Rhinolophus ferrumequinum: one gene and its partner. The protein of the gene in region 1 binds, or shares a complex with, the protein of each later gene. Links are inferred from orthologs where the notes say so. Each region holds a gene or a part of one and is shown in the gene's direction. Other genes may lie near its edges.

The links. Proteins that work in one complex are often made in the same cells at the same time.
Region 2: NUP160 (region 1) and NUP107 share a complex: the UniProt entries of both Homo sapiens proteins name them as parts of the nuclear pore complex. The link is inferred for Rhinolophus ferrumequinum from reciprocal best matches to the Homo sapiens genes NUP160 and NUP107.

What each region holds. Positions count from the first base shown.
Region 1 is NC_046294.1:13,505,305-13,513,349, forward strand, and holds the start of NUP160 (nuclear pore complex protein Nup160), read left to right. Parts: upstream 1-4,398; 5' UTR 4,399-4,632; coding exon 4,633-4,732; intron 4,733-5,002; coding exon 5,003-5,114; intron 5,115-8,045. UniProt on the Homo sapiens protein: Functions as a component of the nuclear pore complex (NPC). Involved in poly(A)+ RNA transport.
Region 2 is NC_046293.1:64,886,620-64,894,622, forward strand, and holds the start of NUP107 (nuclear pore complex protein Nup107), read left to right. Parts: upstream 1-4,418; 5' UTR 4,419-4,592; coding exon 4,593-4,600; intron 4,601-6,327; coding exon 6,328-6,419; intron 6,420-6,941; coding exon 6,942-7,028; intron 7,029-7,658; coding exon of another isoform or gene 7,659-7,683; coding exon 7,684-7,799; intron 7,800-8,003. UniProt on the Homo sapiens protein: Plays a role in the nuclear pore complex (NPC) assembly and/or maintenance. Required for the assembly of peripheral proteins into the NPC. May anchor NUP62 to the NPC. Involved in nephrogenesis.

The sequences.
Region 1 (8,045 bases):
TAGGTGGCAGGCCCTTTGGACTTTCCACACTGAAACCTCACTGGATGCAGGGGCTATAACCATAGGCAAGGTAGCTCTCTTCAGTTAAGAGCAAAAATCAGGGTCCCTCCCACTCCTTTCTGGAGACTCCAGGGGAGAATCGTTCCTGTGCATTTTCCAGCTTCTAGAGGCTGACCATGTTCCTTGCTTATAGCCTCCTTCTTCATCTTAAATGCCAGCAATGTCACATATCTTTGACCTTTCTTCTGTCCTCACATCTTTCTGACCTCAGCAGGGAAAGGTCTCTCCTTTGAGGGACTATGAGTAGTTAGGGCCCACCTGCGTGATCCAGGCTTCTTTCTCCATCTCTACATCCTTAACCTTACATGTACAAAGTCCCTTTTACCATGGAAGTAACATTCACAGGTTCCAGGGATCAGGAGGTAGACATCTTTGTGGGGCCATTATTCTGCCTACCATAATCTGAATTAAATATTTTTGGCAAGAATACTTCATATGTTCTTAGCAGCATTTTCACAGTAGCCAGAAAGAGGAAACAACCCAAATGTCTGGCAACTGATGAATGGATACAGTGTTGTATATCCATACAATAGACTATTGTTCAGCCATAAAATGGAATGAAGTACTGATTCATGCTACACCATAGATGAACCTTGAAAACATTACGCTAAGTGAAAGAAGCTGGACACAAATGGACACATATGTATGATTCCATTTATATGAAATGTCCAGAATAGGCAAACATAAAGTAGATTAATGGTTTCCAGGGGCTGAGGAGGGGGAAATGAGCAGTGGCCACTAATGGGTATGGGATTTCTTTTTGAACTGATAAAAATGTCCCAAAATTAATTGCGGTGATGTTACACAACTATGTGAATAAGCAAAACTCATTAAATTGTACACTTTAAAGAGGCAAATTTTATGGCATGTGAATAATATCTTAACAACGTTGTTTAAAAATGCCTTACAGATGATGCTGTATTCTTCACTTTGTATCACACCAGGAGGCATTTATATCTGGTTGTCCTTAGTAATGAGAAATGCTAAGGTTGAACTCTGGGTTAAGGTGGTGGCAACTGATGGAAACTGTATTTTTAACAAGTGCTTCAGAAAAGTTATCTACCTTACAAGAATACTACTACCTTGTAAGGATGTTATGAGGATGAAATTAAAATGTGACATACTTAGTAAATTTTAAATATGGTAGGTAGAAAAAGTCCCCACCCCAAGGAAGATGTTCACATCCTGATCCCTGGAATCTATAAATGTGTCACCTTACATAGTAAAAGGAACTTTGCAGATGTGATTAAATTTAAGGGTGTAAAGATGGGGAAATTACTTTGTATTATCTGGGTGGAATCTCAGAAGCTTGAAATTCTGACTCAGGAAAAGTTTTAAATGGTAGTTTTGTTAAACAATGAAGTATTTTCATTCAGCAACATTAGAACATTTACCAATATTGATTGTTCCTACAAGGAAATACAACTCAGCTTTCTCCCATTCCGCAGACCTACTCCTCTTCTACCATTCCCACCGAGTTAATGGCACCCAGTTGTCAAGGCAAACAGGAGTCAGCCTGGATGACTAGACCTTCTCTTATTTTCATTCTTCACCAGATCCAACTGATTTTATCTCCTAAATATTCCTTCAAATTTACTCTCATCTTCTCCATGCCACTCAGGACTTCATCAACTTTTGCCTGGACCATTCATTTCTCAAATATTTACTGAATATTTGCCTCTTATGGGCCAGGCATGATTCTTGGAGTGTGGAGTCTAGTAGAGGGGTGGGGGATAAGGATTCAGAAAGCAAGGAGGCAATTTAGGAGGCTATTACAATAATCCAGGTGAGCTGTTGGCAGTTTAGACACAGGGTGATGGATGGCACAGAGAAGGTGAGATGGCACTGATCTAAGGTAAAAGAGAAAGAGGACTCAATGATGACTCCAAGGATTTTGGCTTGAGGCACTGGAAGGATGCCAGTAGGTGAGATGTGGAAATAGTGTTAGGGGAAGAGATCAGGACTGCAGTTTTGGACATATGTGACTTTAATTTTAGACATATTAATGTAGGCAATTGGATATATATATATATATATATATATATCCAAAAAATGTATACACATTTTAAGAAAGGAAAACTGTATTATAATTGTAATACTCAACATGTACCCATAACAAAAGATGAATACAAGTCACGTCTGACTTCTGCAATTACAAGAGGTGCTCAAAGTGGTTACCATCAGCTTAATTTTTATAGTTTTTTTCCTTTCTTAAAAGGAAAAGGTACCCTCTGTATATATGCAGTTGGATATATAAGCTTGGAGTTCAGGCGAAAGATTTGGACTGGAGATATACATTTGGGAACTACATATCCAGCATTTAAAACCAGAAGACTGGGTAAGATCCTCAAGGGAATGTGTATAGACAGGACCAAAAAATGGGCTCTGGGGCACTCCCAACATTAAGAGGTAAGGGAAAAGAGATACAACTAGCAAAGGAGTCTGAAGAAGAGTCAGTAAAATAGGAGGAAATTAAGGGAGTGTGGTGCCCTGGAAGCCATGTGAAGAAAGTGTTTCCAGGAGGAAGGAGCAATCAATTGATCAAATGTTAAAGGTGGTCAATTAAGTTTACAGTATTAGATACAGTAACAAGGATGTCATTGCTGACCTTGACAAAGGCCTAGAGAAGGAAGGTTTAAGAGAGAATAAGAGAAAATTAAATAGAATGACCTTGAATTTTGCAGTCAAGGTGGGGAGGGGCTCCAACCTTGTAGGTAGTAACTTGAGAGCTCAAATGAAGGCTTTTTGTGATGGGAGGAGAAATAACAGAATGTGTGATTGGAGGAACAACGCAATGAAAAGGGGGGAAACTGAAGATGTAGGAGAGACAATTGCTGGAATGATGTCCTCGGGCAAGTGGTCTAAGGAAAAAGTAGAAAGATTGTTCTTCCATAAACTCAGGGACACTTCTATTTATAGTAACAGGAAGGGAAGGCAGAATATGTGGATACAGCGGGCTGGTAGGTAGGGAGAGGTGGTAGTGGGGGAAAACTCTTGATTGCATCATTTTTCTAAGTGCAGAAGCAAGCTGAGAGTGAGGATGGGAGAGGAGGTGTTGCAGGTTAGAGGAGCTGTGAAATATTCATCGAGGACAGTAAGTGGACAAGGGATATACAGTGTTTGTGGGGCAGCAGTATGGGCCCACTCAACATTCTGAGTCATGATGGAGGCAGAGGGAGGTATGTCAGTATGACTGTATTTTCCTGCAGGCCTGTTCAGCTGCAGATTTGGATTTGATCACAGTTGTAGATTTTATCAGAGTATGATGAATTCCCTTGCCCAGAGCTGGGCAAGGGAGTAGTCGTACCTCAGTTTCGAATGTCTCCATTGACAAACATTTCGGTTTACGACCGCTGTAATTTTTTTGATCTATGGTATCATTAGACAGTAAAATTCATGCTGAATTTGCAGTTTTAGGGATTGATTTTAAAGGTCTGGAAAGGATTAATCCATTTTGCATTACTCTCTATGGGGAAACTACACCTCAGTTTTCAAACGTTTCAGAACTTGAAAGGTCCTCCGGAATGGATTACGTTCAAAAACCGAGGTACCACTAATTTAAATAGAATTTAAGCAGAGCAAGAAGGAAACATCAAATGAGTAACAGTGAAATGATGATTGTAGGTGGAATGGAGGGATTGCATTGCTAGAGTTGGTGTTCTAGGAGAGAAGAGAGTGGGCAGAATAGGATGAATGAAACAGAGGACAGATAAGGTTTGCGGTCACTGGTAACACCAAAAAAATAACAGAAGTGCTTAACAAACCGTTAACTATCAAGACAGTAACTTTGCCCCCGCAAAATTAGCATTTTCCTCAATATTGAGCATCTACTTTGCCCTAGATAGGGGTAAAACCACAGTAACCTCCACACATCCAGATCACGGGTGCGAAGAAAAGCAAATTCGTGTATGCCAAGAAATCAGCATTTAGGTAATCTCAGCAGGTTGCAGCATCAATATTTAATTGAACCCATTATGTTTCATCCTACAAAAATACAGGAATACAGTCTCTTGAAAAAATTCCAACGCAAAGCAAAAGGCCCCTCTGCCCTACACTCCCCCTCACCCGATCCCACGTGTCACAGAAGGGTGAAAAAACCGAGACCCGACGGAGATTCACAGACGGACACTCAGATTCACCGAAAGGGGATCGCAAAGTCGGAATCCGGCAGAGGGCGCCATGGCCTCCCGGACATCGTCCTCGGAGGAGGTTCATCCTGCCGCCCGCGCCGTGGTTTTTAAAATGGAACCCAGCCCCGCCCCCCGCCCTGGGGCCGCCGGGAAAAGGGCTCCGCCCCACCCCCACGACCGGAGGCGTCCAGGCCGGCCAAGCGAAGGTTCCCGCAGAGGGAGTCGGCTCCCTCTGCCCCTTTCTCTTCTGTTTTTCTCCCTGCCAACCCTTCTTCTCCAGCCACTCGGAGGAGCCCCGGAAGACACAGTTGAAGCTGCCATTCTTCTCCCCGGCAATCTCCGAGTGTCCTCGCCTCCGCCTGCCCCGCCCCCGGAAGTGACGGCAACCACTCGGTTGTGCTGGTGTCCCGTCGGGCCTCGCGGCGGCGGCGGCGGCGGGAAGATGGCGGCGGCGGGATCCCTGGAACGGAGCTTTATAGAGCTCAGCGGTCCGGAGCGCGAAAGGCCGAGGCGCTTTCGGGAATTTACAGTTTGTGGCGTTGGTACGGAAGCAGCCAAAGAGGGCGCGATCCGATCCTTCCTCTCAGGCTCCTCCCATGAGTCCCTAAATCTCTGATCCCCAGTTTATCCTTTTAAGTCCACATGCCTATAGCCCCGAGATCTGAGCTTCCTTAGTGTCCCATTTCCTCTTTCTCTTCTTCCCCTTCTCTTCGTATGGATTATCAGTCTGTCATCCTCTGCTTTCTCGGCGCCCTCAGTTCCTGTCATCCTCAGAGAACCACGTGTGCAGGCTGACCCCTCTCCTTTTGCAGGGACTTCAAATGCCTTGACCGGAACCGTCAAATACAGTGAGAGCGCTGGAGGCTTCTACTATGTGGAAAGTGGCAAGTTGTTCTCTGTCACCAGAAACAGGTTCATTCACTGGTAAGTGCTGTGTTCGCCAAACCCCGCTGGAAAGTCGAGTTGGTGTCTGAATGTTCGTGGCTGTTTATAAAGGCTGTCCCGCTGTTCTCCGAAGCAGTAATTGACAGGAAGAGAAAGACTGTCTTCTAATTGTATCTGAATCAGGAGATTAAGGAGACCAGAGTTCTAAGAGAGGTTCCCTCCCAGGGCAGCACTAAAAGCAGAGGAAATGTAGCTTAGGGGATAGAGGCCCAAAGATCAGTTTTAAACATCAGTCCATTGTGTTTTTATAGTGTTTCCCCGAAAATAAGACCAGGTCTTAAATTAAGTTTTGCTCCAGAAGACGCATTAGGGCTTATGTTCAGAGGATGTCCTCCTGAAAAATCATGCTAGAGCTTATTGTCCCGTTAGGTCTTATTTTCGGGAAAATACAGTAGTGCTTTACAACTTCATTCTGCAAACGTGTGAGCTTTTACACATCAGGCACTGTGCTAGGTATGCTAGGGATTAAGTGATGAACAAAAACCACCACCATTTTCATCATGCAAGATGTTGTAGCAGTGTTAGCTGTGGACTCACCTTTCGTTGGGCTGTTTAAAGAAGGGAAAAGACATTAATGACACAACATAAGTATAACAATACAAATGTTTCATACCTGCTTCAGAAGAATAGTGTAGAGGCTATGAGAGGCTAAGGGCGGACCACATTTTATTGGTGGAGCTGAGAAGGCCTTTAAGGAGGTCATATTTAACCTGAGATCTGAATGGTTAGCCAGGCAGGGGATTGAGGAAGAGAGCAGTTCGGCAAGTGGGATCAAAATGTGCCAAGTCCATGAGGTGGAAAGAACTTGGCAGGTTTGAGGATCTGACCGAAGGTCTGTGACTTAAGTGCAATGGGCGAAACAAAATAATGTGAGAGATGCTGAGATGGGGAGGGAGGCAGAACTCATTATGAAGGACCCTGAGGTCCTTTTTAAGGATTTTGGATTTTATCCTAAGTACGTTGAACAATTATTGAAGGGTTTTTAATGGTTACTAACATGATCAGAATTGTATTTTTTTAAAAATTGGCTACTTTGTGGAAAGTGGATTTGGGTTAAATATATGTAATACAAAAGAACAATTTGCCTTTATGATGGCCCAAGTAAGAGATACTGGTTGTGAGAATGGCTAGGAAAAGAGAAATGGATGGATTCCACATACATTGAGAAGGTAGATTCACTAGGACTCTGTGATAGATTGAATATGGAGTGGGAGGTGATAAGGGAAAAGGAGGGAGCAAGGATAACTCTTTGGTTTCTAGTGTGACTAACCAGATGTATAGGGCAGAGGGGTGGCCATTTACTGAGATATAGAAGATGGGTTTTGAGAGATTTGAATAATTCTTTTAGACGTACTAAATGTGAAGTATTTGCAGCAGCCCTTTGGCAATATTAAATAAGTGCTGAAATTTAAAGGTCTGCGGCACAGAAGAAAGACCTATGTTAAAGATACACATCTCATTTCCTTCAGAAAGATGTTTGAGTTCTTAATATGTTACAGTCAATGTTTAGAGACTGGGGATGTGGCAGGGAACAAAGCAGACAAAGTCCCTGCTTTCGTGGAGGGAAACAGGCCCTAAACAGTAATAAGGAAAACAAGTAAATGCAGCTTATCAGGTGACGAGTGGAACAGAGACTAGGGAAGCAAGATAAGAGGGAAGGGGAATGCCTGTGGAAGTTAATATTTACATCGGGTAGTCAGGCAAGACCCAGTGATAATGGTGACATTGGAGCAGAGGAGTAAGGATGTTTGAGTGATGAGAATTTCAGGTAGACCCTTCTAAGGAAAAAAAGTGCAAAGAACCCTAAGACAGGAGCTTGTGTGTTGTGTTCAAAGAATGACAAGGGTACACGAGTCTGTAGACGAGTGAACAAAGGGTAGAATAATAAGAAAGGTAGCCAAGGACCAGGTCAGGGCTTTGTCGGTTATTTTAAGGCCGTGACTTTTACTCTTAGTGAGATGGAAAGAAGCCATTTGAGAGTTTTAAGTGAAGGAATGGCATAATCTAAGTTGTGTTTTTAAAGGATTGCTGTGGCTATGGGTTGAGAACAGAGTGTAGTGAGAAAAGGGTGGGAGTAGGGAGACCATTTAAGAAGTTGGTGCCACAATTCAGACGAGATGATGATGGCTTAGACCAGGGTGGCATTGGTAGAAGCAGTGAGAAATGTTCTGGTTGTGGACATGTTTTGAAGGTGGATTTGTTAGAATTTACCATTGGATCAAATATGGGGTATACAGAAAAAGAAGAGTCATGGGCGATCTCCAGATTTCTCTATTGAGAAGTTATAGAGATGCCATTACTGAACTGGAAAAGACTGTGTGTGAAGTAGGTATTTTTGTTTCTGTTTTTCAGGTTTGTTGGGTCCAAGAATTCTATTCTGGACAGGTTTTGATCGAGATCCCTGTTAGATAGCCAAGTGGAAGTGTTGAGGCAGAGGTCAGGAGTTCAGTGGAGACATTGGGCTGAAGATACAGATTTGGGAATTGTTGGCATTGGGTGGCATATAAAGCTGTTATGCTGAATGAAGTCATGTAGAGAATGAGTATAAATCAGGGTTTGGAGGGATTGCACTTGGAGGCAGATAAGTCTTGGTTGTGGGGGCTTCCTGTACGTTGTAATGTGTTGAGCGGCATCCCTGGCGTCTACCCCCTACGTCCCAATAGTGCACACACATGCACGTGTACGCGCACACAGTCGGTTGTGACAAGCAAAAGTCCAGATATTGCTATATGTACTCGGGGAGTGGGGCAGAATGGCCCCCAGTTGAGAACCTGTGTTGATGAGGGAAGAGGCCTGAGCACTGAACCCTGGGGAACTCCAATGTTTAGGCAGAAGAGGAACCAGTAAAGGAGACCGAGAAGAAGTAGCTAGTAAGGTAAGTGTTGAACAAAAAGAGAGTGGTGTCCCAGA
Region 2 (8,003 bases), on another chromosome or scaffold:
TTTTTATAAGTGAATTAATTTCCTTTCCCCCCAATATATAGCTCCCACTTCCATGCACAGTGCCTCATACATAGTTGAAACTTAATAAATATTTGTGAATGGAGGAGTAAAATATACTTCAAGATTATTTCCACTGAACCTCTTTAAATGGAAAACAAAAGGAGACTTTGCAATCATATTTATATTCATCAATATAAAGTATTAATTATTTCGAGCTCTTCATATAGGCAGGAAAAAATGCTTGTGCTATTATTGCAGCATCACAGAAAAAAAGGATTGAAATTGGATCAATTCGATCTGTTACTAATGCCTCTATCACTATGTCACAAGTTTGATGTTGTCAAATGAATTGATAATTATTATAAATACAAATTAGATCATTTTTGAACACATGTATAATATGCCTAGTACTATTCTAAGGCTTTACACATAGTAACTCATTAAATCCTCATAACAACCTTATGATCTAGTACTATTGTTACACCCAAGAAGAAACTAAGGCACACACTTGCACCCAAGGTCACGTACGTAGTTCGTTAAGTGGTGGAACTAGGATGTGACCTCCGGCAATCAAGCTCTGGAGTCTGAGCTATTGACCACTTTGCTCTATTGTTATTTTTATATTTCGTCCTCATAGCTATCCTAAGAGAATATTCTCATTTACAGAGGTGAGGTTTATAACAGTCAAATAGCTTATAAACTGCAGAACTGAGATTCAAACCTGGCAAGCCTGATTTCCAAGACTGTGCTCTTAACCTCCAGGCAATATTGTTTCCTGAGCCAAGCCATGTTTTAAAACCTGCGTATTGTGGTTCATTCATGGTTCAGCCAAAAACTGATATTTCTGTTCAATTCATGATTCATTGTTATTTACTATACTTTTGGCTTGTGGTTCAATTTAGTTCAAATCTATGACCTGAAGTAAATTACTAATCTTTCTGTAATTCTACTTCTTTAGATAAAAATAATATTAAATTACAATAGCTTGTTTGCAATGTTTTGAGCTCAAAAAACAAAACTGCAACAACAACAAAAAACAACAACAAAAACAACAACAAAAAACACCATCTCATAGCTGAACAAGCTGTTAAACTCTAAGTACTTCCTTTTGTTTTATATAACTGCGGTGTATCCTACAACTGTATTAGAATCCTTCTAATTGTCTTTTGGACATGACAAAAACTGTTTAAGCACCTTCCATAATTTAATTCACTAGACTCATATCTGACTCATTGGAATTCTTAATGAATTCCTTAAGACATTTGTTTGAATTTCAATTGGGCCATGCTATGAAAATAAATTGTCTTAAATAAAACACCTCACAGTGAACTGGACAATAAAAACAAAATCATCCAGTCTCACCAAAGACAACCACTATCAACATTTGGTATGATCTTTGTACAAATATATTTTTAAAAAGACTTGTGTTTTTTTTTTTTTTAGAGCACTTTTAGGTTCACAGTAAAATTGAGAAGGTTTAGAGATGTCCCATATACCCCCTCTCCGCACACATACACAGCCTCTGCCATTATCAACATCTCCCACCAGAGTGGGACATTCGTTATAAGAGATGACTTACATTTACATACCATAATCACTCAAAGTCCATGGTTTACAAAACGCTTCGCTCTTGGTGTTGCACATTCTATGGGTATGAACATATATGGCATGTGTTCACCGTTATAGCATCATACGGAGTATTTTTACTGCCCTATCTGCCTATTCATCCCTTCATCATCCTCACTCCACCCCCTGCTTCAGTATGTCTTACGCATTTTATATTGTTTCTGAGCATACTGATATATATGACAACTTGCTCCCTTCATTTAAAGCAAACACTTCCAAGTTACTAAAACTCTCTCTAAACATCCTTGTAATGACTGCATAGCAGGCAATGAGGTGGGCATTGGTTTATCCCTTTTTTCTTCCAGTCTGTAGGAGTGGAGAATATATGCCAAATGGCCACAGAATGTTGGGAATTATAGTTGAAAATGGGTAGAATATAGAATTTGAGGTAGAGCCATTGCCAGATAGGCAAATCTCCCGAAGGCTGAGTCATTTACATTTACAATGCAACCAAAACAAGTTTGGCTGGGAAGGGAACAGAGAAAAGGCAACAGTTAGAAAGGAGTGCCAGGTGAAAGGATGCTTTCTTTTCAGAGAGGAGAGAGGTCAGGCAGATTTTGAAACTGAGACAAACTGACCCCATATGCCATCTGATGTGATTAAGTAAGTACTCAACAATACCTATGTAGTACGGGGGAGCCAAAAAATGTATACATGTGACTTGTATTCAGCTTTTGATATCAGTATATATTGAGTATTATAATTTTAATCCAGTGTTTTCTTAAAATGTATATACTGTACATTGTTTCGGCACCCTCTGTATTCCTGCACCTGTCCCTCCAAATAGTTTTTTAAAATGCTTACTGGGAGAAAACATCCAAATTGAGGAATATTTTGCAAAAATTGGTTTGAACTCTTGGGGAAAAAAAAAGTGGGGACTATGCTAAACTAAAGTAGAACAAAAAGACATGACAACTAAATATATAATGCTCTACTGGATCCTGTATTGGAGCAGAGCTGTTATAAAGAGCATTATTAAGAGAATTGGGGAAATTTGAATATGTTAATTGTGATATTTTGTCAATGTGAACAGTTCTGAGTGTTTATTTTATTGTGTTAGGTAGGAGAATGTCTTGTCCTTGATTTAGGAGATGCATTCTGAAGTACTTAGGGGTGACGTGTCTAGATGTCTTCCAAATGGTTCAGGCAAAAAACAAAAGAGAGAGAGAAAACACTTATTGGGAGATGTTAGCAATTAGTCAAGAGTATATTAATACCTATTTTACTATTTTTACAGCTTTTCTGTGGGTTTGACATTTTTTCAAAATAAAGGGTCAGGGAGGCGGGGAAAGCAATGATGTTTGATTTCCTCAGCTGTTGGTGGTGAGGGAGAGGAAACAGTGGTTTGAGTATTTGGGGATGGCTGCTTCCTGGCCTTTAGTTCCTGAGCAGCTGTTCTTTGCCAAGCTTTCCTCCAGCTTCTGTGAGCTCCTGATAGGTTTCTAGTAAAATCCCTTTTGCTTAAGTTAACTATAGTGAGTTTCTCTCATTGAAACCGAGAACCCTAAAAATAAAGCTAGAATGTATGCAATATGCACCATACAAGTTTGTGCCACGCATTTTAAAAGAAATCAAATGAATGAATATATTTTGAAATATTTTAGGGTTGTATGGTGTTCATGCCCACTAATTGAGTGTGTCAAAAATGAAGACCAGTGCACTTTTCAACAAGTGTTCCCTTATGGCATATGAACTGAACATTCTGTTAATCCTTTGCCCAAAACTGCTCTTCCGCTTTATTGTGTGCCTTATGGTCAATCACTTCAAGTCCATTACATGAAAAAAAAAAAAAAACACAACACATTGGAATTCAATTGCCAGGAAACATATGGCAAGAACCTGAACCACTGGCTCACTTAGAATAAACTTGCCCTGGCACTGACAAAAATCATTAGGATCACATTTCATTTTCCATAAAAGAACAAGTCCACTTTTATACAAGAAAATTAGGAGATGGGAAGAATGAGAGAGCACCACTGCGGGTCTCGTCAAGTAAGATTATTGAACGAGGAGAAAATTAACACTTCGGTGACTACTATGTGCAGTGTACATTTGACATCTTGATTTTACTCCTCAAAAGAACTCGGTGATAAAGGCGTTATTTCCATTCCACAGATGAGGAATCTGCGGTGGCAGGGAGTTCGAACCTAATGGAGACCAAAGCCACGTGTTTTTAAAAAACGTCATGTTGTCTCAGCAGGAATAAAGTATGACGTTTCCCAGGATTAGAGCAGACTGTAAATGCCTACGGCAAAACATCGACTAATTCCTTCAGGGCCAGGATGTACTACTTTTTGTCTATATGGCACTTTGAAATAGAGGATAATACCATCACCTTTCCTGCTTTTTAAGACAGGTGATCCTGTTTTCCTTACTAGGGAAACATACCGAGTAAAGAATAGGCATATGGAAAACAATTTCAAAACCTGTAGGGGGTTTACAGTACAATTCAGTGAGTACTGTGAGAGAGAGGGACGAACCCCCGAGGTGTAGGGCAGAGTCTAAACGTCTGAAACCCAAATCCAGGCTCTTTGTCACAGGACATGACTTCACATTTTTTTCTAAACTATCAGTATACGTCAAATTTCCCAGTAAATAGTCCCAGGATAACCCGGCGCCTGGACCACGCCCACAAATGCCAGTCAGGCAAAGTGGCGGCCGCGCATCAAGGCTAAACCCGGCCCGGCCCCGCCCCCTGCCCGGTCCCGCCCCCGGCCCCGCCCCGCCCTACGCCACAAGCTGGCACGCCGTCGCGCCTGCGCAGACCGGACATGCGCTTGGAGGAAGTTGCGCCGGCGCTCCTTGGGAAAGTTGTTTCTTCCCCGACGACACTTCTTTTCTCCACGGCAACTGAACGAGGACTGTTTCCGGGTCGAAGGGTTTGCTTCCGGAGAGCGGGAAGGCTGAAACGCGGTGGCTAAACTGGATCCCAATTTACAAGGTTCCCGGTGGAGAAGGCTGTAGCCATGAACAGGTCAGTTCAGGTGGTGACTGCTGAGCTTGGAAACTTGTCCCTCCTGCTTGTTGGCGGAACGAAACAAGTGGAACTCGACTTCCAGAGGAAGCCAGGGAAGGCCCGGGTGCTGACTCGAGGACTTTCCCGGGCTGGGAGATTCTGCAGCTGATGGAAGAAAGGCCGCCAGGTTGGGAGAGGGATACGGATAATGATAATCCCTTGCGTTCCTACGGAGCTCTGTCATTGTTCTGCCATTTCGCGGAACATTTTTCGCTTCTGGGGTGGGCGGGGTAGGAGGTGGCCCGGCATTCGAGATGCTAGAGTGACCTGCTCGAGATCCCAAAGCCAGTCAGTGAGGCAACTGGGAATCTCATCCCAGACTTGCTGATTACAAGTTCCAGCGATCAGATAGTTACTGAGTTGAGTTCTTCCTAGGACCCTGGTACTGCGCTGGCCGCCTGCGACACAGATGCCTTATTCAAGGTTCTTGGCCTCGGGGTAGTCGCTGTGTAGTGGAGGAGACGATCAGGCAGTTTTCTACTGCCCTGTGGGAAAGGAAATGAAACAATTAAGTCTCCCTGTTACGGGAGGTATCAGGAAAACCTCTCAAAGGAGGTAATTTTCTAGTTGGTCTTTGAATAATAATAGCTAACATTGAGTACCTTAAGCACTTTGTATCGTTAGCTAATCTTCGTAACAATCCTGTGAGGATAGGTACTCTTTTCATAGATAACACTGGGGTTAAAAGAGGTTAAGAAGCTTGGTCAAAGTTGGGAAACTATTAATAATAAATAGAACCAAGTTGCCAGCCTGTAGGGAAGCTTTTCAGTGAGTAAGTGTTCACCAGGTGGACCAAGGGGGCAAATGTCCGCCTCTAAAAGAAGCAACGTGTACAGAGATGTAAGGATATGCCAAGTGCATGCTTTGTGTAGCTGAATGGTCAAATGTATGTTTGTATGGTATGGTGATGTTTGTAGCTGAATATAAGCGTGAACCGGTAAGCTGAGGTCAGATTGTACAAACCATGGTAGGAAATTTGGACTTGATTCTGTAGGCCAGAGGTAGCTACCTATCTGAAGGTTTTAAGTGGAGAAGCATATTAGATTTTTCTTTTAAAATACAGGTCTCTTAATTCACACAATTTATTTTATAGCCCTTGGGCTGAGAATGACAGGAGATCTGAAGCATTGTGACTACAAAGTGCTGAGACAGGAGACATCCTTAGTGTATCCTAGAGAGAAATAACTTGAAATATTATTTTCTCCAGTTTACTAGAATTCTTTTTTTACTTAGCCTCCCATCTCACCAGTTAAATAAAGCAATAAATTTCTTCATAGTTTCCATGGTTTGAAGTATTTTGGAAACCACAGAAAATCCTTTTTAAGAGATATAATCCAGTAATTTTAGGGAACTCCTCAATCCAACTGAGGAAAAATTTACCTTCATGAAGCAATTATCTAAAACAGTAATATAGATTCCAAGTGTTGAAATAATTGCAAAGGAGAAAATAACAGTGAGTGCTAGAAAGTCTTAAAGAAGTCTGTGCAGGTAAAATTTAAGCAGGACTTTGAGGGATAAGTAGGATTTGGAGCCAGAGGGCACTGTCAACAAAAAAAGCAAAGACATGGCTACTGGAATGATCTGTACCTTGACTGACTTGGGTCCTTTGCTCCAGTCCTGATGATGGAGTTCTTTGCAAGTGCTACATTCTCGTTTCATTCACGTGGGCTTGATTATGCTTTTAGGAGTGGCTTTGGAGAGATGTTATCCCCTGTGATCCGGGAGGCAGAGGTGACACGGACTGCACGGAAACAGAGTGCTCAAAAAAGAGTTTTAAGTATCCTTTGCATTTTAAGCATCATTATAAAAATTGCAGAGTGTTTGGGATCAGGATTATAGAATTTTCTTTTTATGAGAGACATTAAACACTAGCTATAATAATAAAATGCTGCAGAAATTATTTTTTTGACTCCCCAGATAATGTTATTTGGTAAATACAATGCTGAAATTCAGTGAGATTAGATTTATATTTTCCTGAAAATAAGGGTGCTCGATTTTACTGCTATTATATTGTAGTTAGCTTTTGTGGAGGTTAGATAGCCTTTTTAAATTTGAAATCTGACTAGGAACTCTTAGTGTAATGTGTAGTAATCTTAAGACATATCTGAGAAAGTAAGTGATGTAATTATTTACTCTTTGCATAGGAAAAAATGGTAGCCATAAAATACCTTGTCCTTTAAAAATGTATCACATATTTTGTATAGTGTAAATGTGGGTAATTCTAACTTTAATGGTGTCTTTTTTTTTTTTTTTTTTGGATGTCTTTTCTACATGGAAAACTTTTCTTAACTTCCAATAGTTCGGGCATCCCAAGATGAAATTTTTGCTAATACTACACCAAGAAACCAGGTTCTCCCTCGAACTCCCAGCTCATTTCGACCGCCTTGTAAGATTTTTTTAAAGCATGTAGTAATAATAATAATAATAATAGTAATAATAGCAGCTAACACTTATACACATAATAAATATATTTGGTTGAAACATTAGTAATTAAGAATAAATAATAATGATTGCATTTACTATTTGTTGAACTCTTACCATGTGTAAGGCACTAATTTACATACACAATAACTGGGACATAGGTATTATCTCTATTTTGCCAAAACTGAAAGTGAAACTAAGAAGTTAATTAATGCTGATAACATAACTAAGTATGTAAGTAATAGAACCAAAATTTAAATAATGATCTGCTTACTTCAAAACTCGTGCCCTCTATTCTATACTGCCTCTTCAGTGTGCTATTTTATAAAATTAAAATACGAAGAATCTATTGACTCATTAGTGTCCTTTTTTACTGCTCAGTTATGTTATAATGAAAGCATATCTATTTGTAGTAAAATTTTTCCTGATGGGCTCAGTAGTACCAAAATAAGTTAAATTTTCATATCATGGAAATGTTAATATTTAACATGTTTATTTGATTAGAATCTAAATAATTGACAACTGAAAATTATTTGTTCTTCATATTGTTTGTTTGTTCTGTTTTCATGATCAATGCTCATGCACTCTGGATGAGTTTTTTACTAACCTTTTATTTGTAGTTACTCCACCAAACCGAAGCTTACTCAGGCAGCCAGATATTTCCAGCATTCTTGGAACAGGAGTGAGGTCTCCCCGGTTTACACAGTCTTCACTGTTCTTGGGAAATCTGTCTATGGTATGTAGAAAAATGGGGCTGAAATTTTCTCCCTTTTTGTGAAAGTGTCCTATGACACTCTTTAAGAATCACTGTGGTACGGTATTTAAAATAGCAGAAGAAATGTCACATAAACTGTGATGTAGAATGATTTGACTTAGGTGTTTAAATACTCTATAGAAAAAAAAAGAATTGGATCTCACTGAAAAGAAGAAAAAAGAAGAG